4 linked regions of the Arabidopsis thaliana genome follow. The main gene of each other region encodes a partner of the protein of the gene in region 3 in a complex. Each region holds a gene or a part of one and is shown on either strand. Other genes may lie near its edges. The genes, in order: XPB1, UVH6, GTF2H2 and AT1G18340.

Evidence for each region.
Region 1: GTF2H2 (region 3) and XPB1 share a complex: the UniProt entries of both Arabidopsis thaliana proteins name them as parts of the 7-subunit TFIIH core complex.
Region 2: GTF2H2 (region 3) and UVH6 share a complex: the UniProt entries of both Arabidopsis thaliana proteins name them as parts of the 7-subunit TFIIH core complex.
Region 4: GTF2H2 (region 3) and AT1G18340 share a complex: the UniProt entries of both Arabidopsis thaliana proteins name them as parts of the 7-subunit TFIIH core complex.

What each region holds. Positions count from the first base shown.
Region 1 is NC_003076.8:16,549,252-16,556,568, reverse strand, and holds XPB1 (DNA repair helicase XPB1-like protein), read right to left. Parts: upstream 5,451-7,317; 5' UTR 5,233-5,450; coding exon 5,223-5,232; intron 5,136-5,222; coding exon 5,092-5,135; intron 4,996-5,091; coding exon 4,923-4,995; intron 4,841-4,922; coding exon 4,672-4,840; intron 4,590-4,671; coding exon 4,367-4,589; intron 4,263-4,366; coding exon 4,206-4,262; intron 3,875-4,205; coding exon 3,731-3,874; intron 3,622-3,730; coding exon 3,541-3,621; intron 3,445-3,540; coding exon 3,357-3,444; intron 3,184-3,356; coding exon 2,846-3,183; intron 2,689-2,845; coding exon 2,613-2,688; intron 2,527-2,612; coding exon 2,333-2,526; intron 2,060-2,332; coding exon 1,896-2,059; intron 1,810-1,895; coding exon 1,737-1,809; intron 1,642-1,736; coding exon 1,528-1,641; intron 1,433-1,527; coding exon 1,352-1,432; intron 1,152-1,351; coding exon 777-1,151; 3' UTR 531-776; downstream 1-530. UniProt on the Arabidopsis thaliana protein: ATP-dependent 3'-5' DNA helicase/translocase; binds dsDNA rather than ssDNA, unzipping it in a translocase rather than classical helicase activity. Component of the general transcription and DNA repair factor IIH (TFIIH) core complex.
Region 2 is NC_003070.9:773,949-780,580, reverse strand, and holds UVH6 (RAD3-like DNA-binding helicase protein), read right to left. Parts: upstream 5,055-6,632; 5' UTR 4,932-5,054; exon of another isoform or gene 4,774-4,931; 5' UTR 4,760-4,773; coding exon 4,226-4,759; intron 4,100-4,225; coding exon 3,819-4,099; intron 3,427-3,818; coding exon 3,344-3,426; intron 3,246-3,343; coding exon 2,842-3,245; intron 2,710-2,841; coding exon 2,516-2,709; intron 2,429-2,515; coding exon 2,248-2,428; intron 2,096-2,247; coding exon 1,971-2,095; intron 1,775-1,970; coding exon 1,685-1,774; intron 1,580-1,684; coding exon 1,501-1,579; intron 1,408-1,500; coding exon 1,331-1,407; intron 1,044-1,330; coding exon 935-1,043; intron 838-934; coding exon 718-837; 3' UTR 537-717; downstream 1-536. Other genes in the region: AT1G03180 (non-structural protein), read right to left, coding at 5,402-5,459, 5,534-5,613, 5,702-5,796, 5,881-5,929, 6,042-6,350, 6,428-6,485. UniProt on the Arabidopsis thaliana protein: ATP-dependent 5'-3' DNA helicase, component of the general transcription and DNA repair factor IIH (TFIIH) core complex, which is involved in general and transcription-coupled nucleotide excision repair (NER) of damaged DNA and, when complexed to CDK-activating kinase (CAK), involved in transcription by RNA polymerase II.
Region 3 is NC_003070.9:1,448,118-1,452,585, forward strand, and holds GTF2H2 (general transcription factor II H2), read right to left. Parts: upstream 2,785-4,468; 5' UTR 2,736-2,784; coding exon 2,460-2,735; intron 2,058-2,459; coding exon 1,596-2,057; intron 1,499-1,595; coding exon 1,120-1,498; intron 945-1,119; coding exon 796-944; 3' UTR 514-795; downstream 1-513. Other genes in the region: AT1G05040 (UBA-like domain protein), read right to left, coding at 24-331; AT1G05060 (coiled-coil protein), read right to left, coding at 3,138-3,245, 3,334-3,420, 3,548-3,639, 4,178-4,302, 4,392-4,468. UniProt on the Arabidopsis thaliana protein: Component of the general transcription and DNA repair factor IIH (TFIIH) core complex, which is involved in general and transcription-coupled nucleotide excision repair (NER) of damaged DNA and, when complexed to CAK, in RNA transcription by RNA polymerase II.
Region 4 is NC_003070.9:6,310,942-6,315,628, forward strand, and holds AT1G18340 (basal transcription factor complex subunit-like protein), read right to left. Parts: upstream 2,991-4,687; 5' UTR 2,794-2,990; coding exon 2,763-2,793; intron 2,640-2,762; coding exon 2,551-2,639; intron 2,470-2,550; coding exon 2,187-2,469; intron 1,918-2,186; coding exon 1,871-1,917; intron 1,678-1,870; coding exon 1,640-1,677; intron 1,554-1,639; coding exon 1,508-1,553; intron 1,409-1,507; coding exon 1,355-1,408; intron 1,271-1,354; coding exon 1,202-1,270; intron 1,095-1,201; coding exon 1,018-1,094; intron 934-1,017; coding exon 838-933; intron 747-837; coding exon 671-746; 3' UTR 502-670; downstream 1-501. Other genes in the region: AT1G18335 (Acyl-CoA N-acyltransferases (NAT) superfamily protein), read right to left, coding at 81-183, 281-385. UniProt on the Arabidopsis thaliana protein: Component of the general transcription and DNA repair factor IIH (TFIIH) core complex, which is involved in general and transcription-coupled nucleotide excision repair (NER) of damaged DNA and, when complexed to CAK, in RNA transcription by RNA polymerase II.

The sequences.
Region 1 (7,317 bases), on a different chromosome or scaffold from region 3:
ATTCAACATACAGATTATGATAATCCACATTTATTACAATCTTAATATTAACTTTGGATTCAAATATCTTGTATTTCTAATAATTATGTTTTTTTTTCGTTTTTTTTTCCACACTTATGATTTTTATAAGAGTACACTTTAATGAAATAAGATGCTTCAAATGATAGTATAGAGCATTATAATTTGCAACCAATGGGAGTTGGCCATTTGAAGATTTGTGATCATGAAGCTTGTCAAAGAAATAGATAAAGAATATCAATCCGTTAGGACTAAATAGACAAAAAATTAAGTAAATCAATGTAACTGAAAAAGTGGTCAAAATGCTACCTACACAGAACTTTAATTGTAGGTTTAGCTTATAAAAATACAAAAGGTATACATATAAATACATAGGAATAAAAAAAGAAAGAATTATTAACAAATAATATTCCTCTTACGTGGGACGAACATTGATAATTCATTTTATCTCGATTTATCTTTATACATTTTTGCTGTTGTGCATGTTTGTGTTTGGTGAGGGTATCTTACTATCTTACCAACTTCCTCCACAATTGCAAAGTAGCCTCCTCGAAATAGAAACATACACTTACATATTTAAACAATGTCATAATACTTACAAAAAATAAAAATAAAAAAAATACTTACATACATGATACATCATACATTTTTTTATTAATTTAAGTAATTTATTTGTTAATTTCAACAAATTTGCACAAAAGTTACATACAACTCGAAACAAACAGCCGAAAACTCTTGAAAGCTTCTCTTTGTTTCTCTCACACGTAACGTTTTTTGAAGAGATTGTGTCGTTTGGTTGGGTCTTTAGGTTTCTTGAATTGCTGACCGGATTTGTGACGGCCTGAGTTGTATTCCATGTAGACCATTCCTTTTGAACCGGACATTACGCTCATCGATCCCATGCTTCGTCTCGCCTTTTGTAGAGCCATTCCGTCTGTGTCTTCTTCGAGTTGCTCTAAACCGACCAGATCGTCTCCAGCATTCATCACCTTTCCAAGAAGAGACAACTGTTCTTCTTGACTATGGTAGCTCAAGCTTGAACCCGCGTCCGGAGGTGGGAGGCTTGTTATAACCTTAAAGCTGTAACCTTGGTCTATCAAGAACTGTTGTCTTTTCGTCGAATAATACATTTCCTGCATTTTCAACATTCACAATCCTTAAATCAGCCATTCACATGGAGATACGAGTACGGGTGTTTGTATTATCAGTTCAAGTTTCATGTTTCGGGTTTTAGAAAACGAGGTCGGGCAAGAACTGAATCATATTTTGGTTCTAATTCGGGTTCGGTCTGAGGAAATTCAGTTTTTATGCCTACTTCACTTTAGTGATTTACCTGTGTATCTGTCGAAACAAGTGAGTAGAAGAATGCATTGTACTCTTCTTTTCCACCGGCCATTCTATCTTCGAGTTTACCCTGTTTTCATCATATGGAGAAATATCAAAAAAATTTGATCCAACCAACAAGAGAAACTAAAAGAGACACTTAAGTGATGAGTACGAAATTCAAACCTTAGCCCTAAGAATACGACCCAAACGCTGAGCCTCTTGACGTCTAGAACCAGCATGTGACGAAATCTGGATAATCACATTAGCTTCAGGGATATCTATGGAGTTATCACCAACCTGTAGTCAAATAAACCAAACGGAAATTAAGTTCCCTAACGAACATGGAATGGAGGAAGGACAAATTTATATAATGAAGGAAACAATGTTTATACCTTTGACAGGAAGACAGTGTTCACGTCTTTACTGGTTTTAAACGCCTCGAGAATTTTTGTCCTTTCGATATGACTACATATTGAAAAAAAAATTGAATTATCAAATTGGAAATTGAGTGAAAACGAAAAAAGTGTGTTATCAATAGAACTTGAACGAACCTGGTTGCACCATAAATCATTGGTTTCCGGAGTTTCATCGCATACTCTGTAAGCGCAAAAAGATTGTCTGCAAAGACAATGATTTTATCCCCACGTTGTTGTTCATGGAAACGAATCAGAAACTCACAGGCTCTGAACTTGTTAGGGTTCATGACATAAAGTGCCTGCAGATACCAGAAGACCCATGTCAGAACAACTGTCAAGGTTTACTAGCTCCAATTCCATAGACTTTCCATGGTGGTTCTATTAGAGCATTTTCCAAATTAGAAAAGCACACTAAAAAAAGAACCTATATTGATGCTTACAATATTTCAAGGTTCCAGACTACATAAAATTCATGGACTCTAGTGCATCAGATGAAACTAACATAAAGATCAGATATCTAACAATCTCAGATATTATTTTCAGAAAATGCAAAAAAGCATATATTCATGAACCTGCTTTTTCTTGGAGTTCTCTTTCTTTAGATATTCTGCAAAAAACTCTTTGGTCATGGGACACCATACTTCAGCACACTGAACATTTGCAATAAAGCCTCCTTTAACTAAATCTAGCCAATTGGCTTCATAGAGTTTCGGGCCAATGAGGAAGTTCAAATCTGTAATCCTTTCGTCTTCTCTCACAAGGGTGGCTGAACAAAAGTCCAAAAAAGAAACTTAGCTTCTGCAACTGAAGTATACATATGTAAATGTATGTGAAAATGAACCCTTAAATTACCTGTAAGTCCTAGCTTGCAGTGAGATTTTGTGATACTGATAACTTTCCTAAACATATGGGCTGGAACCACATGCACCTAAAACAAAACAGAAATCTTGAAAAGTCAAGCATAGAATGGAAACTTATTGTTTGTAGATCGCATTCATGGGCTCAACACTGGATACACCTTCTCAACGAACATATGACTTTTCCGCAAAATAACTACCAGCAAACACTAACATCAATTTGATTACCTCATCCATGAGCAGTAACCCCCACTCTCTGTTTCTCATTTCTTCTATAATCTTCTCTGATTCCTCAGACCGTTTACCACCAAAGGCAACCATATTATAGGTTGTCACAACAACACCAGCATTTCCACGGAATCGTTCTTTACTATCAGAAGTGAAACGACATATTTGGTCATCTCTTATAGTAGACCACAACTTGAACTGGAAGGCCCACTGATCCACTGAGACAGCATTCGTCGCCAAACAAAGACAACTCTTCTTTATACGAGCAGCTGCAGAAACACCAACTAGAGATTTACCAGCACCACAAGGCAACACTATAATCCCAGATCTTGCTCGCCCTGCAAATCCAAGATTCAAGATCAGTCACAATATTTCTCAAGAAATTACAAAGATAATTATCTATTAGGTGTTCACCATAAAGCTAGATCAGTCACGTGGAAGTACAAGTGGACATATCTATGAGAAGTTCACCATCAATAAGGAAAAATAATGTGGATGCAGACAGCTATACCGTTCCCAAACATTTTGCTCAAACTTTTTTCCTGGTATGGCCTCGGTTGTGCATGGGGCTTCAGTTCCATGTCAAGATCGGGATTAACCTGAGAGACACCATCAAGTTATTAACAATCACACACCTGCGGTGCATATCATCTGGTAAGCAAAAATTGGCCTGAAGTGTAATATTTGTTACTCACATTGTCGTTCCTGAAGTCATATTCCTCTAACATAGGGTAATTCAAGGCATTTGGTAAGCAACGCTGCTTCACATTCTCCACCTAAACACCAAGAGAAAAAGAGCATGACACCACGAGTTAAGTAAAGATCATACAACTTTACCAAACTCATCAATTCGATTACTTTTAAGAAGCATTAGGAGAAATTTACCTGTGCAGGGTCAATCTCAAATGAGTGAGTTTCTTTCTCTTCTGCTGCTGCTGCAAATTCCGCTTCATTCAATAGCTCCCCGGGTCCTGCTTCAAGTTCACCGCATGTTCTGCCGACCGAGAATCCATCACCGCCATAATATGGCTACCAAAAAAGTTAATCTAAGTTGGTTCGACATACTGTGGAGAATACAATGGTATTAGATTAAATAAATCAACAGTCAATGAATCAAGAGTTTAAGAAAAAAGGATTATGAGTTAATTTACCAACTGAAACATCGTTCCAAGGAACTTAGGAGTTAGGAATATAAACATGAAACCAAGAACCTGAGAGAATCAAAATATATATATATCTGCCACACTGGTGACAAAAGATGCAAAACACCGTTGAGAACAACCAAAAATGGTATGTATTTCCATCCAGCATAAAATCTTGAAAGCAAACATAATGAACTAAATGGAGGAGTTCAACATACCTCAGAAGAAAATCTAGCTCGGTTTATAACATCGTCGCTGAGAAGCCTTTTCAAAACCTGAGATTGTTTTGTGTTTACAATTGAGCAAAGGCAATGGAAAAACGAAAACCAATATCCAAATACACAAGAGCAGAGACAGAGCATCAGCCTAATGAACTTACCTCTGGGAATGGGGACTCAATAAAATACCGATTCTTCTTCAAAACCAGCTTTACTTTCCCATAATTAGCAGTAGAAGCATGGATGAACTCAATCATCTCCTTGGGTAGCTTAGTCTTAGACAGTTTATTCAAAACAGAAATGATAGTTTCTGTCTCAAGACCAACGGAAACAGCAGCATACAACGAGTGTGGGGTTAAATTATACTCGTGCATTGACTCAGGCCTGAAATAGTAACAAATGAATGAAAATCAACAACAAAAATCATAACTTGTACATTGATATAATCACCAAATCAAAATCGAACCTGCAAACGGGTTCAGCAATGGCGATAAGAAAGTCATAAGCTTGTTTATAGAGAGGAGAAAATGTCTCCAAGAAAATCCTTCCATCAGCACAAGCCCACAAAGGCCTGTTTCCATGATCTGGCTTCAACTCCAATTTAGTAAAATCTCTCTTCTTCTCCTCTCCTTCACCTTCAAAAACCATTATAACTTTTCAATTCAATTTTGTTCCAAATGTATCCATTTGTAAGTAATAAGTATGCTACAATCTTACCATCACGAGAGTCTTCATCAGCATCATCATAGTAATCTTCAGCGTTTTGGATGTTCTTCATCTTTTGATCATCCTGAGATTTGACAGTACAATTACACTCACTAACTACCATCTGAAGAGCCCTAATTGATAAAATAAAAAATTGATCTGGAGAAGAATCAAGACGAACCTTGCCACCATACTTCATCTTCTTGTTAGGTCTTCCTCTTTCACCTGAACAACAGAACTTCACAGTATTGGCATACTTTTGTTTGGCAAGATAAACTAAGCAAAAATCAGTAAGATCGAGCTGCTTAATACCGTTTCCCATATTGATCTTCTTTTTTTGTCTTGTATCTTCCAATTGAAGTTATCAATTAGCGATTCCTGAGAAGAACAAAGAAGGAAGACAACCGGCGCCGTGAAAATTTACCGTTGAAAGCTATTTGGCGGAGGGAGTAGCTGCGTCCCCGGCGGATTTTGAATCGGATTCGGTGTCGGGTTCGGGTATCACTGGTTTAATCATTAATGTCAAGGAAGGGAAATGTAAAGTAGAAGATTCAAAAGGCTACAAATAAATAACGGATCAAATATGGGCTTTAATAGACCTCTTTTAATGTGGGCTTTCTTATTCTCACGTTGAGCCCATTCTTTTTTCTTTTAGCCTCTAAGATTATTCTTACATATGCAAAATGGGAGATGAAAGACAAACCATAGGATGAGGAAGGAAAGCGCATGAGAGCATGCACATAGTTGGTACTCATAGAGTACCATTAATAATATTTTACTATTAATTTTAATGTTTATTTATTGTTTGAAACTTTTTATAATATTGATAATAAATCTGTTTCCACCGGTGAAATCGTATTAGTATCATTAAAAAAAAAAAATTGCAAAATCGAAAAGATGCGTTTTCCCGACTAATCGAAAAAAAAAATTTCTCTCTTTTCACACAAAAACATGTTTTCCCAACTAATCATAACCCGCCACGTTATCAGAGACTGGTATCAAAGAAATCACTCCAGTGATACTACTTAAACCCAAATCAGTTATTTTATTCATTAATTTAATATTTTTGGGCTTATGATACTCATAAAAATTGTGCAATGTACATGGTCTGAGAATGGGAGACGATTCAATGCCCAAAGAGTTGCCACGTTCTTCTCCTTCTCAAGTGACACAAAGTATGAACCAAGAGGAGACCAATGTACATCCAACGCTCCTGCACAAGACAAATAGCATTACATTACCCCATCTGCAGCAGTATATAATCTCGGTCCCTTAGAGCATCCTCATTGCATATCTTTTATGGGTGTCTTTAAACTTTTAAACTACTTAAAAAAGTGGAAAATAATAAATGGATGTGTCTTAATAGTAGACATTTTACCTGTCAAAAGAGAGAGGGTCTTTAAATTTAATATTATTTAATATGAAAGACATTCATTGGAGGATGTGCAATGAGGATGCTCTTACCTTGGTCATATAGACATTATCTGGATGCACAAAAGAAGCAAGACCTTCTTCTTACCAACGTCTCAAAAACATGTCGGGCCTTCTTCTTACGATTTGGATAACATCTTAACAACTGGGCCATAACGGATGACTAATTGACCCAGATCTTCTTCATCAGTACGACACTTAAAAGAAAAAACACACAGAGTCGGGTCTTCTTCATCTTTCACCTGAACAACAAAATTCCCCAGAATTGACAATACTTTTTTTTGCAGGGTAATATGAAAATTAACCAAAATCAGTAAGATCGAGACTTTTATCGTTCCCCATATTGATCTTTTTCTCTTCATCGAATCAATTTTAGACATTATCTCTTGTCTTTTCAATCGATTATATCAATCCGGTGTCGAAGACAGAAATTCTACGACAGAGGGAAAACAAACGGTACCGTAAATATTTTCCGTTGTAAGCTAGACCGAGAAGCGAGCTGCGTCTCCGTCGCATTATGATTCGGATTCGGTGTCGGGTCCAGGTCCGGGTATGTCGAGTCCGTTACTGAGTTGATGTGATCATGTGAATGCAGAGAACGTTATAGCAGAAATGCAAACTCGATTCATATATAGAAAGGCTACAATAACGGATCCAATATGGGCATTTAGTAGGCCTCTTTTAGCGTGGGCTTTCTTTAATCTCAAATTGAGCCCATTATTATTTTTAATTCGAAATCATGACAAGTAATTATTTTTTAACCTCGAAAACTAAGTACGTTTTACTGTTGTTCAGGATCTGTCAACCAAATTATAATCGTGTTTTATATGTTGGTTCAGCGAGATATCATGACAGTTGACAATAACAAAATAATTTTCAAAGGTATTCTCGAGGCGATATCATGATATGCTAGAAAACAAATATCAAAAAAAAGGAAAGAACTTTCTAATATCAATTAATCAATTCACATAATAAA
Region 2 (6,632 bases), 670 kb from region 3:
GCTATCGAATGGATCTCTGACTCTGGATTTGTATTTATAAACAGTATTTCTGAACTTCTAATGGAAACCTACAAAAAGAATGAAAGCTTTATTACGGAGGAACGGAAAAAGGAAACTTGGCCGAGAGAGACGAAAATACCTAAATACCCCCCTTGGGAAAAAGGAAAATTTGGCTCAAGAGAGGAAATTCCCTAAATAGTCTTCGGGAAAAAGGAAATCTGGTTTCTCGCACGTTGAAAAATTAGCCTGCGTAATAACGGCTAGTGGGTGAGCTGGAACTCCAACTGTTGGGCTTTGCAAGTGCCCAATGGGCTTCGACAGTTTTTGAGGCGGTTATTGGAGACAGGTGATTGGGTCGTCGCACTAACTCTGCCAATTTCAATTCCACTTCTACTGCTTGGTTAAATTTATTTAATCATTCTTTAAGATTTTTTTTTTTTAGTGGTATGTTTGATAGATTTAACAAGGAGCCGACGAAGTATTTCTTGATCTAAAATGATGTAATGAGTGAATATGATAATCTAGTTATCTTAACATTAAGCATAAATTTTGCTAATTTCAATAGATTTAAAACCAAAACGAAACTTTTACGAGCCTTAAATTTCAATTCGATTCTTGAAAATCATCAAGAAAAAGAACAAAATACCTACAGTGAAAATTTTTGCTACAACAATTTTTGATTGACCTAAACCAAAAAATAACAAACAAACTGATTTACTAATAAGCCATGTCTTGCACACCAGTCTCAGCCATCTTCTCCAAATCTTCTTGTGTCAACAGAGTTTTCCTTCCCATTGTACCCGCCTTATCATACGGTTGAGCCATTTTCCGAAGAAACTGCAAAAAAAACAAAAACCAGGAAAATTGTTGATTCTTTATGCCTTGTTGTTTGTTTCACTGTGAGTTATAAAAAAGCAGCGAGTTATAGGTTTACCTCTCGAGCAATGTGAATAGCCATATCAGTGCTTAGATTCAAGTGTGCATCACGCAGATGCGAAAGTATCCAACCAGGTAGTTTGGACCGCTTATCATGACGGCTGTATCTGCAAGTTTTACCATCAATTGCAGTGTATTGTTAGACCATAGAAATGTGACATTATAAACCAACATAAGCATATATCTGTGTCTCTCTTCTGTCCTACGAATATTTTCCCATTCCTAAGGAACAGTGTGAACTCTGTTACAATCTTCTATTCTCGAGGTGATCTCAGATACTTGCGCATATACTTATTATCATACTAGATAGATTATAGAGAGAATCCCATTTAGTAAAATAGCAAGAATCTAAATGACCAGACTCAGAGAGAGAAAACTTAAGGCGGGCATGTACCTTTTGTCTGCAAATATCATCATCCCATAATCAGCCTTTGACCGGATTACTCGCCCTACACATTGAGCTGCTTGCCTCTGTGTTAAAGCCAAAAAGAGTTAACAACAGTCACAAACAGGTAAAAGAGTTGCACACCAAAATCTAATAAGATCATAAAATAAGAATCATACCAAGGCATCAAAAGTTAGGAAATCGCCTTCTTTTATTTGAAATGTATCGTGCAAATACTCCAATCTTGCTCGTAATATCCTGAAATTTTTCCCGTTTCCATCTTATCATCTCCCAAGTACGATGAAATATAAAAGCAGAAAACCGGAAATTGAAATGATAAACATTCATTTGAGTACAACTTACTTGCTTAATGTATACTGGAATGGTACTCCGTACATTACAACCAGTCTTCCATAATGACGATCAAAATCGATACCTTCAGCAACTTTCCCCCTGCAGTTCAAATACAAAATTTGATCACTTTCTTTGAAATTTCTCAAAAGTGAAACCTCTTTAATATTTGTTAACCAACCAAGAATAGGAGAGAAGAGACAATTCCAGTATTATAATACAGAAACAAAGAAGCAGAACCAAAGACGCATTGCAATGAATTCCCAAACCATCTACCATTCAAAAATAAAAATTTTACCTGGCCACAGAGAAGAAAACTGCACCTCTTCCGCAATCGCAAGCCCTGCGATAATTATCCAGTGCCAATGTTGTTTCTACAACATCTTGTGTTTCAATGAAAACAAGCTTCTGTTGCATTATTTCCTACAAACATTAAGAGAATTGGTAATATCAGTAAACAAATATACATTAATGCCTGAAGCAACTAAAAATATTTTGAGGTATCATAAAAATTCCAATTCATGCAAAACTCTGAAAAAATTACTGGCATGGTAAAGCGATGAAGAAGACCTTACCTTCAGAATTCCAGTTTCATTCCATGTAGCAATAATGCCATCCATATATGAGTAACTAACAAAGAAGCAGACAACTCCATCAGGAACAATAGATACCATCTCTACCAAAAGCTTTCCGTAATTCCTCACAACACCAGGATCACTTCTCATGTCAAATTTGGTGCTAACAGGAAGCTGATCACTGAAAAAGAAAACAACCAATAATGTCAAGACATATAAAATTAAAAAATAAGTTAAGTGTTCAGGATTCTTTTTATATACCACATACCTTCCCCGAGTTAGAACCATAGGGCAGATGCAGTCTCGTGTCATTGACATCTTAAAGCTTCGACTAACAACAGGAGTGAAATTAAGAAGACGGGGGTAAAGATCAATTGGGCTCAATGTGCCTGATGTAATCACGACTGACTGGAAACGATCAAACACCGGTTTGATCGCCAGAGACGCATCATGACAGCTCAACTAAGATACAAAAGGATATATGTTTCAGATACAATTCTCAATTATTCAAACGGTAGCATTTACGTGTGAGTCATAATCCCTTAAAATCCCAGTGACAATACTCAAAAGAAAGTAGGTCAACACCATATTTACCTGCAATATAGGATCTGGAATATGGGGCATTCTCTCGTCATAAGGCTCGATGATGATGGAAAATCCCCGGGCATATGTCCCAACAAGAGTTGCAAAGTCGCACACTGTCTGGATAGGCAAAAACTCATCTGTATCTGTAATTTCAAGGGTTAGCATGAGAGACTGGAGCCGGTCATAACAGAACTTCAGTGTTTTCTGCTCAATTCCAGCCTGAGAATTCAGTGACGATACAAAGCTAACAGGGCTTTCTTTCTCTACATTCTCAGTGTCCAGCCGTACCCCCAAGTACTGAAGTAATCGGCGTAAAACATGCACAAAATGCTCAGCCCGTCTAATATTCCCCGGGACAGCCTCCTTTAGAATATCATGAGGCAGTGCAGGGTTTGCAAGCCATTGATCACCTCCTGCAAAAAAAAAATTGTTGCGTCAAGTTCATAGAATTAGAAAATTTACTGTGTGCTTTCAATCAAATCACAGATCACCTTCCTGAACACATACTTACCAGATAAGTCCCCTCTCAGTGCTAAACCCTCAACCAGCCGGTTGTATTCAGCTCGCAATCTTCCTGCATCAGTAGCCTTGAACCTTCCTACCAGTTGGACAATTTCAATAATGTAATAAGAACTTAAAAATAAGCATCAGCAAATAACCAGGTCACTTCCTGTATTGAACCAAGAAAATTATGCTTCATGTGTTTAAGATGATGACAAAAGCGTTTGTAAATTTTTGTTCCCCTTACAGTTCTTTGACAAAAAGCAGTCTCATAAAACCAGATTATTTTCTTACTAACTTAAACTTCCTTAAGAAAACCAACAATTAGCAACTGGAGTGAGCAGACACCCAGATGGCATTCAAGAACAATCAGGAAATTCAATTGAAAAAGAAAAGACCCTATCACTGTGTTTATTGTTGTATTAAGAGTGGCACGTTCAAGAGAACTTAAGGAGTATCAGCTATATAGGAAAAAATTAGCGTACCTATCAATTTCTTGCCTTATCTTATTAAGATTTCGATTAGCTCCTTCAAGTGTAACCCTCCTCACACTGACGCTGAGTGCTTCAATACACACGTTATCGATATTATGGGCCTCGTCAAACACTACAACTGACTCTTTTTGTAACTCCTTTGATATGAACCCAGCAACCTTAGGATCCAGTAGGTATTGGTAGCTGTAAACAATAACGTTGGCGAACTGAATCATATGCCTCGCGAGAAAGTAAGGGCACCATCCACGATTCTTACCAAACGCCCTTAGATCCTAAAAATCGAAACACACATATACCATCAGGCAAAATGTGCAAGTAACCTCGAAATAAGCATTCCAACTAAAACATAAACTTGATCAAACAACAAATGTGAAAAACCTTAACTTTTTTAATCTTACCTCTAAAGTATAAACACCAGGAGGCAACAACGCATTCTCAGCAGCCTTTTCATAGTTCTCAAAGAAGTCACAGAGTTCTACATTTGGATTCTCCGTGGACAAAGCCCTAACCCAGCTAGCAGTTCGTTTCCTACAGGCCGCATCAACAGAATCACGATTCTCGGCTGCTAAAACCTTAGTATTAACGCAAAGATTCTTCCGAGAGGAAAGACCAAGGGCGAGGATCTTAGCCTGGGTGCCGAGATGGCGTACTTGGTAGTCATGTAGTAGCTTAAGCTCACCTAACGTTTTCTCCATCTCGTGGACAGTACGAGTACAGTAAACAAGCTTGATCGGAGAATCAGGACGAGAGAGTCGATAGCTGGTGATTAGAGAGAGAAGAGCAATGGTTTTACCAGTTCCGGTAGGCATCTCGAGAAGACAATGTCCCTTAGCGTCTAGGGCTCGCTTCAATTCAACCATGTATTCATATTGTTCTGGATATATGTTGTCATAAGGGAAGTAGACAGTTACGTCTTCGATTTTAAAGATCATCTTCTTCCTCCTACCTAGAAATCGAAATTGGCATTAGAACTAACAAAACCCTAAAAAACTCGAATTCACTTTAGCAAAACAAGCGATTCAAGTTGGAGTAGATAAACCCGAACAACGAGAAAGAAGGAACAATTGAGATCAAGCGAAGAGAAGATAACAGGAGAAAACTTACAGGTGATAATGGAAGCTTCGATGTGTTATCAACGACTGAGAGAGGAACCGGTAGCAGCTTCAAGGTAGAAGAAGAAGAAGAAGAAGAAGAAGAAGAAAATTTTGCGTCTGTGTTTGCCGAAGTAACCAGAGCAAACAGAAGAGGAGGACTCTTATTAGAAAAACTTAAAGCTTTGTTTCTTTTTCATTCTGACCCCCTATTTATTTATTTTAATGCGTTTGACCCCCTAACTTTATGTATATTAAACTTCTCGACAAAATTAGGTTTTTAAATGTTAACAATTCGTCCAAAAATATAAAATAGTTGAACAATCCTGATTTTGTTAAAACAACAGAGTATTAGAGTATGCAGTAGTAGTAGTACAATGTCATCTCAAGATTTGGAATTGTTTCAACAATGCTGGTTTTTTTCTAAAATTTGCAACAGGGTTTAGTTACAACAATAGAGAGATACAAACAAACTCTAAAGTCTTATTCTTCAACTGGTTGATGGAAAGCTAATCCCTTTATCACATGTCGACATTGATACCTGCAATGACACAGTAAGGCATGGTCAAGAACTTGTTTAGTGTGTAACTGGAGAATTGTGAATAAGAGAAGTACCATATTAGATCATTTGTGGGAGGAGAATTTGTTGCATTGTCTTGCGTTCTGCACTTGAATCTCAACTTTGAAGGCACAAACTGCAATAATAAAAGATGTTTGCAGGTGACGGAAAATCGGAATGTTGTACATGGATGTGTGAAATAGAATTAGCAGAGAAGTGTATACCTTTCTGTTGTATCTGAAGTCACGTTTAGGAAGGAAATGTTGTGGAAGATTCAAAGTAGGTGGAGCATGAACCAATATGAAGAGCCTCATTGGACCTGCAACTCAGAAGAAGGGAAAAAAATCATTACACCATAATTCACAACAATGCTAAAGAAGTTTGCAATTTATGCAAAAGTTACCTGGGTAGGAAGTTGATCCAGCACCCGTCGAGATCAGTGCTCGGATAGTCTGTAAAGCCAAGAGTGAAGGGCTCAACCATTTTTGACTTATCACAGCAGATAAAATTGAAAAGAGACAAATCACAAGCAACATGAAAACAGAGGTAAGAAAAAGAATAAACCTTTTTTGAAAGTGCTTCTGCAGCTTTGGATTTAGCAAAGTCACCTTCGTAGCCTAGAACATGGTCTCTGCGTTGTGTGAATAACAACTCATAAGCATTTTGAGGCCGTAATGGACTACCACCAAGAATCAACACAACTTTCTGAATGCCAGGAGCTTCACGGATCATTAACTGCAGCGCACTTCGGAGACTAGAGATGGTTTTCATCAGTTTCTCCAGTTTCTTAATCTCATTCTTCACCTCTCTCTTTCTACTCATCAGTTTTCTTCTAACCAGTGGTTTCACTTGAGGTTCTGCAAGATTCGTCTCCTACAACCTAAGATTCTTAGAGTGTGAAAAAGACCTTAGACCTTAAAGTGAAAATGGCGTCTGTAGGACTAACATACCAAATCCATAAATTCAGTTTGCAATCCTTCAAATTCAAGGCTCATGTCTTGTAATACCCTGCACAGATGTAAATAACCAACAACAGTCATATTGGTAGAAGGAGCTTTGTGTAGCCAAAACCAAAGCTGCAAATTGAAGTTTCTGGTTTTCAGTAAAACACTCATAGTGGATACAACAGACTTAATTCTAAAACCAAAAGGAAGT
Region 3 (4,468 bases):
CTTAATATTATTAAATCACCCACCTGGTGGCCAAAGCACCCGTATCAGAGCTTTTCGTTATGGTTATCTCATCTTGGCGCATCTTCAGCGTAAATTCCGAGACAGAGGTAGTAGAGTATCTTCTTCTTAAAGGAGATCGAGATCGCTCTCGCCATTCATTCACCCTCCGTGGAGTCGCTCTTATTTTGAGCGGAGGAAGTTGATCACCGAGGAAACCAGAGATGGCGTCTTCGAGATTCCAGTCGAATCCTTCAAGGTAGTAGAATGCTGCATCTTTACACGCAGACGTTGCCTTGCAGAACCTAGTGACGTTAGTATCTTCTTCCTTCATGGTGGTGTTAGGGACTTTTCTCAAAGATTAAGTACGTTGTTTACTTATGACAATCACTAAGAATTGTTTCACTTAGATCTAATATAAAAGCTTCTAACAAACAGAGAGATATTTAGGGAAGTAGTTGCGACCTTGTCATGACAGTATCAACAAACAACTGATGATACGGTCTCCTTTTGTTTACCACCGAAATAATTCTTTATTACTACTGTTCGTTTTCTCATGAGTGAAGAAATTTCAAGCCCAAGTTAAATAGAAAATCAAACAATTAAGAATGCTATCTCTGAAAATTTGAGTCGGTTTGTTTTGGATCAATTGTGAGAGAGCAATAGAGTCCACAAAAGAAGAAAGATTTTGGTTAAGGACATAAGACCAATTACAACATCCTATATCACAAAAAAAATTGCTTCCTCTCATCATCTCAATTGTGATTTATAATTGGAAGTGTGAACACATTCATTCTCTCATTCTTCCATCAAAGAAACTGATTTGGGACGGTGAATGCTCTCACAGCCAGGACAGTTGTGTAAGCTCTCGTGGATGTATATGTCACAGTCCAGACAGAAATAGTGCTTGCATTTACGACATGTTACGCATGGGACGGGTTTATTCCCTAAGCAAAAAACAAAAGCACCAATGAGCCTTTATATTTGAGTGAATGGATCGGTTACTTTGTATATACTATGACAAGGGTGAACCGTATCTTAAGTTCAACTACTGGTCTAGTGACCAAATGGTTATTCAACCAACAGTATTAAGACTCTATAAAATGGTGTTCAAGTAGTTACCTGCACCAATTAGGCTCTGTTGGCAACCAAAACAACTCTTTCCCAATTTTCTCCGATTATCATTCAGACTTGAAAGTGCAGGCACCTCATCAAATGGAGCAATCGGGAAGAGATGATGGTATGATCTCGCCAAATGCGGCGAAGAAACAAGTGTTAGACCGCAGATAGTGCATTCCGTAGGGAGGTCACATACCCGAGCTTTGCATCTTGGGCACATGTAACCAGCTCCAATCTTAACTTCCTTATGACACGAACAAATCGCCATTGAACCCTCAGCAGCTCTTTGTGGGAAACCCATCTTGATCAAATTTGCAATTGCAAATTCTGCTATTGCCGGAGGTGGAGGCGCATGTTCAAGCAGAAGATCCTTTAGATGCACCTGCGTGAAAAGACAAATACACACAAAGCACAATGTTATACCATACAAAACAAGTTTTTCAAAGGTCCAAGTGTAAGTAGAAGGTAGCTAAACTCACCTCGTCCACTGCAACTGAATACAATCCGCCAGTTTCCTGGCAGAGGTGTTTACATATGAACATTTCTGCAGAGAGCCCAATTACAGAACATCTTAATTTGGATTTCTTGCATTTTTGAATGGTCTCCATGATATCGCCTGGATCACATGTGCATAAAGCTGAGTACAATATCAGAACCTCGCGGTGACCATAAGATGGAACCTGGTTGAGATGCTCATGTACAAGTTCCAGAGCGTTCTGCAAAGAGGAGTCACCCAAAGCTTCCAACTTCCCCATCAACGCTTTGATGTGAGTCTCAGGACTACCACCAAGATCTGTTAATGTATGCGCAACTCCATTTTTTATAGAGACCAACCCAATTTGACTCAGAGGATTCTGGTCAAAGAACTCTCTAATGAAAGCTTCGACATGTTTGGCCATTATAGCCATCCGGCTTGGTCTGAAATCCATTTCCGCAGCTGCCTAGACACGACAAAACAGTCCAAAGTGTAAGACTTTGCATACCTTGGAACTAGAGAAATTTGAACCCAAATCATAATGTTGCCTTCAATAAAGAATCTGAATAAGGATCACATCCTTAAGCTCTACAAACCCACTTAGAGTAAGATTATCATTGCAAACAATACAGAGCCAATTATAGAACCTATTGAGAAGACTAAAGAGCAGAGATCTCCAAAACTAGAACGACGATTACATTAAAGTTACTTATCAGTGACCCAAAGTGCATAGTTTCTCTTTTATATAAGCTCTGATGAAAGCAACATAAGCTCAATTTCACGCCATCAAACTCAAAGGAAACGGCATTGAAGCTAAAAATCACAAAATCAGCAGCAGCAGCGGCGGATTGCAAAGAAAAATATTTACCCGAGAGAAGTCAATGACGATGTAGAGATATCGAATAAGTCCCTTTTGGATACGAGTACCAGCAGCAGCGGCGGAGAGCATACGAAGACGGCGGCGATACTGAGCATGGTAAATGGCACTGTTATCAATTGGCCGTAAAAGTCCAGACTCATCCTCTTGCAACTCCTCCCAGGATCGGTCGTCAACATAAGCTCTCTCCCACTCGCCGATACCTTCCGCATCTTCGTCGTCCTCTTCTTCTCTTTCATCGTTTGATCTCTTTCTTTGATTACTCATCGTTAACCTCACCGTCTAAGAGACCTAATTACAAAAAGAAGAAGAGAACTCTACTGAAGCCAAAATTTACATAAACAACCCTTACTTATTATAACGTTCACAATTTTGACTGTAACTTCCTATTCTGTATATTTAACCCACCAATCCATGTCCAATCAGAAGTGAAACATTTTATTTTGCTTACACAATAGGAAACATTGATATTGAAACTCATAAAAACTTTATTATACAAAACTTAAATCACTCGATACAACCTTTATACAGCAACATTGAAACTTCTTAGTTCTTACAGCACAATATGATAATTTACCTAAGATCTTATTGAATCTTACAAACATATAGAACTTCTTCTTTGACTTTCTCTATCCACATGGTTACACATTAACCAAAGGTCTTGGCCTTTTAAGATTTAGGTCCCAGAATTTTCGAAAGCTCCTTCAAGATTGGTTTCTCCTTGATAGTATTACCACCTTCATTCTCAATATGCCACTTCTTCGACATGTTTTCAGCCTGAAATTTATGGTCTTTTCGGGTTAGTCTATTAATGATTATGATCCACTTCAGTTGAGAAGATGCAAGTATCTTTGTAAAACATTACCCAAGTTCTTAAGGGCTCTACTTGTTCCTTCATCGACTCCAGTTTTGGCTGAAAAAGATCTTTGCCTTTCGTTCTTATGTCATCAGCCTAACAGAACGAAAATCATACAATAAAACCAAGTAAGGCGATGATGGCATTCAAGATCAGTCAATAATGCTTAGAAATGCTAATCTAAATGATTTAAGTAAGAAAATGGAAACATATGCAATCTTACATTACGCATGTCAAGTTTCGAGGCTGCCGTTCCAAAAACCAAAGTGGCTGAACCAAAGATGATAATAGTAGCGGCTGCAAATGCTTTTCCAACTGCAGAAACCAGAAAAATCAGAGGGCTCGAGATTAGGCAAACTTTCCGAACACTTCACGACATCAATTAACATTAAAAGACAAAAGACAATAACAGAATCTCAATCTAAGCAATATTATCAACAATTTCTAGGCTGTGAGAGAGATACTTAGATTATTTGTCATCAGAGTCAAAAAGAGACAACCAGAAAGCAGTTGTTACATTAGACACTCATGAACCCTCAGCCACGGAAAATCTTGGCTTTCATAACCAAACAAACCAAAGTTTTCTCTAGTAAGCTGAAACCTTTCAGAATTACTGCCATTGCAGTCCCTAACAAGGTAAAATAGACAAGTTTGGGCAAGCAATTTACATGATCAACATTAACAAAAGCAAGGAAGTGAAAACAGAACACGTAAAGATAGCAATCCTTCTATCTCTAGCAAACAACCCAAATCTAGTCATGTTCCTCTGTAGGTAACTGTATCCATAAATCCAATTATCCACGTTCAAAAAGATTTGATTTGCAGATAAACAAAAGAAGAGAAGTGATCATACTATGTTGAAGCCCTTCACCAGCAGCTTTCAATTTCTCAGGATTTACAGGAGTGCCGTATCTGTCTCTCCTCAATTCATTAGCTGTTGACGCCAAAACCGAATTCTCAGATTCCGGTAAATCCCATCTGCAATAAAAATCGACACAAATTAACAACAAATCCAAAATTTTGAAATACTCATCAAGTGAAACAGAGTATAAAACCCTAATTTGAACCTTCTACGGCCGAAAGTGACTTGTGGCAGAGACACATAACCTCTGAGAGGATTCAAGACATCAGGGGATATAGAAAC
Region 4 (4,687 bases), 4.9 Mb from region 3:
TGATAATCAGTTCGCATAAACAAAATCCCATATTTTTGAGAAACTGGCGAAAATAAAATTGAGCAGAAGAACAAATTTACCGTTTCTTCGGTAACGGCGGAAAGAATCAAACGGAGAAAGAGGATCGTCAATGGAAGAAGCTCTTTTTATAAGGTCATGAATCGTCTTTTTCTTCTCCAAAATCTGCACGACAATTCTCAATTATCGATTTCGAACAAAATCAAAGATCGAAATTTCGAGTGCTATGAAACATACACATTACTTCCGAGATTTTTTTTACCTTTCGCCGTTTCTTCAAATCCATTGCTCGCCACACCGATGATTCTCTTCCCTCTGTCTCGTTCGTTCTCCACGTCTGAAGTGATTCGGTAGGAGACGGATCCATCAAACGGGTTTGGACCCGAAATAGATCCGACAATAATAAATGACGTCAGCCCAAATGTCGTATTCGTTCAAATTCGATAGAGAAGCCCAACTTTCTATATGGACTATTAGAGGCCTTTTTGTTTTGTTTGCTCAAGTCAACGGGTACTATCTCAAGGAAAAAAAAAGAGTCAAAAACTTTGCAAAATTGATTTCACTTTGATATATGGTATAAAAATTATCGAAAATGAACGCAAAGACACAATTAAACAAAGTTTGCAGTTTCTCTCTGGCACAAAAGATGATTTTAGGTACTAGGAGCTTTTCTCTTCTTATCAGAGGCAGATGAAGCATCATCAAGTTTAGACTGACCAAATACAGACCTGCAAATTTCCAAAAGCTTTTCGATATTAGTATCAAACAACATGATAGATTGTTATCTTGAGAAAGAACATGACGGGTCAAATCTCTTACCCGCAGGTTGAACATTTCTTGTGATGCTCACAGAAAATGGACAGACACACTGAGCATATGTAGCCCATATCTATTGTCTTCTTGTGGCAAAAGCACCTGCAAATTTTGTACTTAAAACCATCTGTTATATATGCAGAGGAAGACCCGATTAATTGAAGAGTTAATGACTTGATCACTTACGATGCGCGAAAATCTACACCTATGGGTTTAGGAAGTTGTACAAAACCGCGGGAGTGCAAATCGGTTGCAAAGATTGTCTTTTGTGCAAAACAAAACAATCCAGAGTTAGCAGCCATTGAGTATTGAGTTCGCTAAATGAGAGACGAGTCACATAATGGTTTGCGTTTGGACTTGAGTTGCGTACCGTTAGATATTGAAATAGCCCATCCAACTGTTTAGGTGTATGATGTACACCACCAGTTATATAAGATGCCTACAAATAAGCCAGGAGATAACAGCTGACGCATAGGTCCAGTTTGACGAGTTAGAATCATGTATAAAGGAGAAATGATATTACCTGCTGCAAAAATGCTGAGTTCTGTACACCTATGTAACACGAATCAATGGGAACCTAAAGAACCAATTGATGAAGTGATTTGGGTACATGATACTGGATTTAGAGAACATCAAGAACCGGAAATCCCAAAGAACCAATCAAAATGAAGATTACCATCAAGCGTTGGGCAGAGAAGATAGAGTTCATAACAGCAACATACCTGAAAGAATGACAAAACCTTTTAATGAGACCAGACAAACAAGACAAAATCTTGCAAGTAGAAAAAAAATGAAGGAAGAAACATACTGTTCCGGGCCATCTGGGGAACCTTGCAAGCATAAAATCTGTATTTCATATAAACGTCAATAGCACAATCAGTTCTGTATTTTGGGGGTATACGATAGAACAGATAACACATAAGAAAAAGGAGTCTATATTCTCATTAATACTTTAAGCTGAAGATTCATACAAAGCAATCAACATGAAAAGTTTTATCCAAGACAACTGATTGATACATATATCCTACTGAACACTCACCCGAGGCTGGGGATGAAGATGTCCAGAACGGAAAACCCTCTGTATATCTAGAGCCATAAATTAAGTCAACAACAAAATGTGAAGACTGAAAATCAAATACATATATTACCAGATAACATTGATGGCCTTAGACATGCTATAGGTTTAGCTGAGAACAAACATGTCAACCTAAAATGTTCCTTACTTAACCCAGTCTAGAGAGAAAGCTAAGCTTCAAGATCACTGCCAGAACTTATGCAAACAAATCCTAATAGTTTGTACTATATATAGCTTCAAGAAACCTATCATGATGCTATATGCTTTTCCAAGAGGATACAGCAAAGAGCCATGGAGAGTGATCCTGACAAGAGACAAGAAGGTATTCTATCCTCAGACACTTCCTCCTTGCTGAGCTCCTCATCTTTGGTAACAAACTCTTCCAATTTCTTAAGCAAAGAACCAAAAATTGCAGGCATTCCAGTTCCATTGCTCTCGAAATTTCCATGATTTGATGTCAAAGACGAATCATAAATGTAATCACAAGAACTGTATCCAGTAGCTATAACTACAACTTGGTTCAACTGATTTAACCCCAAAACCGCATTAAGAAACGCAAGCACCTACACATAACAGCAGCAAGCTTTCTGCATAAAAATCGAAGCATTGAACAAACAAACAATAGATTCGTTAGAGACACTTACATGAGAAAGGAACTGAGAGAAGGTAATCGATGTAGTGCTCCAGAAAAGAGGATTCGTATCAAGCAACAAAACTAGAAGACTAACATCGTCTGCGACCAAAAAAACAATCACGAGCCAATCAGACTTGTTTCCAGTTTTTGGGATATCTAATCTACATACTTATACGATTGAGGAATGTGAGGGTTTCGAAGTAAGAGGAATTTAATAATAACCTGAATACTGCTTAGAAGCAATGGCAGGCATAGTTTCACAGACGATTCCAAGTCAGAATTTCAGTGTGCCGGGAAATCTTCCCGGTGGGAACGAGATCTGATAATGCTATTTCAGTGCCGGGAAATCGTTTTTTTTTTCTTCTCCAATATATCTTCACAACAGGTCTTTGAGTTTTCCGATTACGAACCAGAGTTAAAGAATGAAATTCTCGGATGCTATAGTAACTTACTGAAAAATTCAAGGATTTTTAGCTTATACAGAAATCTGAAGTGATTTGGTAGGAGCCGGATCCATCAAACGGGTTTGGATCCGAATCAGATCCGACTATAAACGTCGTATCGTAAGCCGGGCTTACTAAGCCCAAATATGGCATTAGTTCAAATTTTTAGATAGGCCCAGTTTTCTTTATGAACTAAACCGCCTTTTACAAGGGCCTTTTGTTTTCTTTGTTCTTTCTTTTGGAAAAGAACACCAAAATCTCAAGGAACAAATTTATTTTTCAAACTGGCTACTGATACGAAATTCAGTTTATTCAAGCTTTATACTATCGGACGTCGATATATTAATTTTAATGGTAAAAAATTTTGGTTGAAATGTTGTTTGTTTCAATACTAAAAATTAGTAAATTCACACATGTCCTGATATCCAATCCATCCTATGAAACTATAGTCATGTTTGGAGATCGTCTTGATATATAATACATGGGGCATAAAAAGCTTACTACATTTTTTTGGGAGTAACAACTAACAAATAAACAAACAAGTTTTTTGGTTGGAAAAAGAAGCAAATCACATTCATAAAGGTTTGATTGACTTCATATAATTTGATTGTTATTCATTTGATTGACTTCATATTATTTTTATTCAGTATTCTTTGGATATATACGCGCATGACAATCGACATGCTAAATACTTGTAATCCGTAGGGTCATGTGTGACTGTCCACTAAGAATCTGAAGATCTAATCATAGTTTTTACTAAAATCATATTAATAATTAACTTGGCAATATTAATGGCGATGGCCATTGGAAAGCTTTTGCATGATGGCCTAAATATAACTTATTGTTTGGTCATTTTCATTAGAAGTCCTTAGCCTCCGAGGTACATTGAACCTCACAAATTCACATTAAACTTTAAAATCTCCTATAGTTTAGTATATGAAAATTATATAACTAAATTCCACCAATGTCTTTATGAGTAAATAATAATCTTACTATCAAGTCAAATTAATATCACTAAAATAAATGTTTTGAAAGTATTATTATTTTTCAACAACAATGGATTATGTGTTTGAATGTGAAGATAACGATTCTGATAGGTAACACAAAGCTTTAAAGTTGTTTTAGCTGTAAATTAGAATGCAAAACTATATAAATAAGTAGTACAAAAAGTTAAAAATAACGTTTTTATAACGCTTTTGTAATTTGTAATATCACGGTACATGCTGTACCAAACTTTGATAATTGAGTTACCATTCAAAATCACTAAAACAAACTCTTTAAATGCATATAAATCTAATCATTAATGCAAAACGTTAAAAGTAACGCTTTTATAACGCCTTTGTAATTTGTAATTATCACGATACAGGCTGTAACAAACTTTGATAATTGAGTTACCATTCAAAATCACTAAAACAAACTCTTTAAATGTATATAAATCTAATCATTATTGCGTAGATTTATCTCAATATACACAAGCCACTATAGCCAGGTTCCGGGTAAGTAGGACAGATAGCAGTCCCATGCATTTAACCTCGTGCAAGATAAACATAAACGGTAGACACACTAGTTGCCATTTTTAGATACAACTCAACAAATAATAATTAAGATAAAGAACAAAAAAGAGTGATTAACATTTAATGGAAAGATTTATTAGCTTCCCAGGCTCCTCACTTAAATCCCACTCAAGTCTCCATATAAAAACTG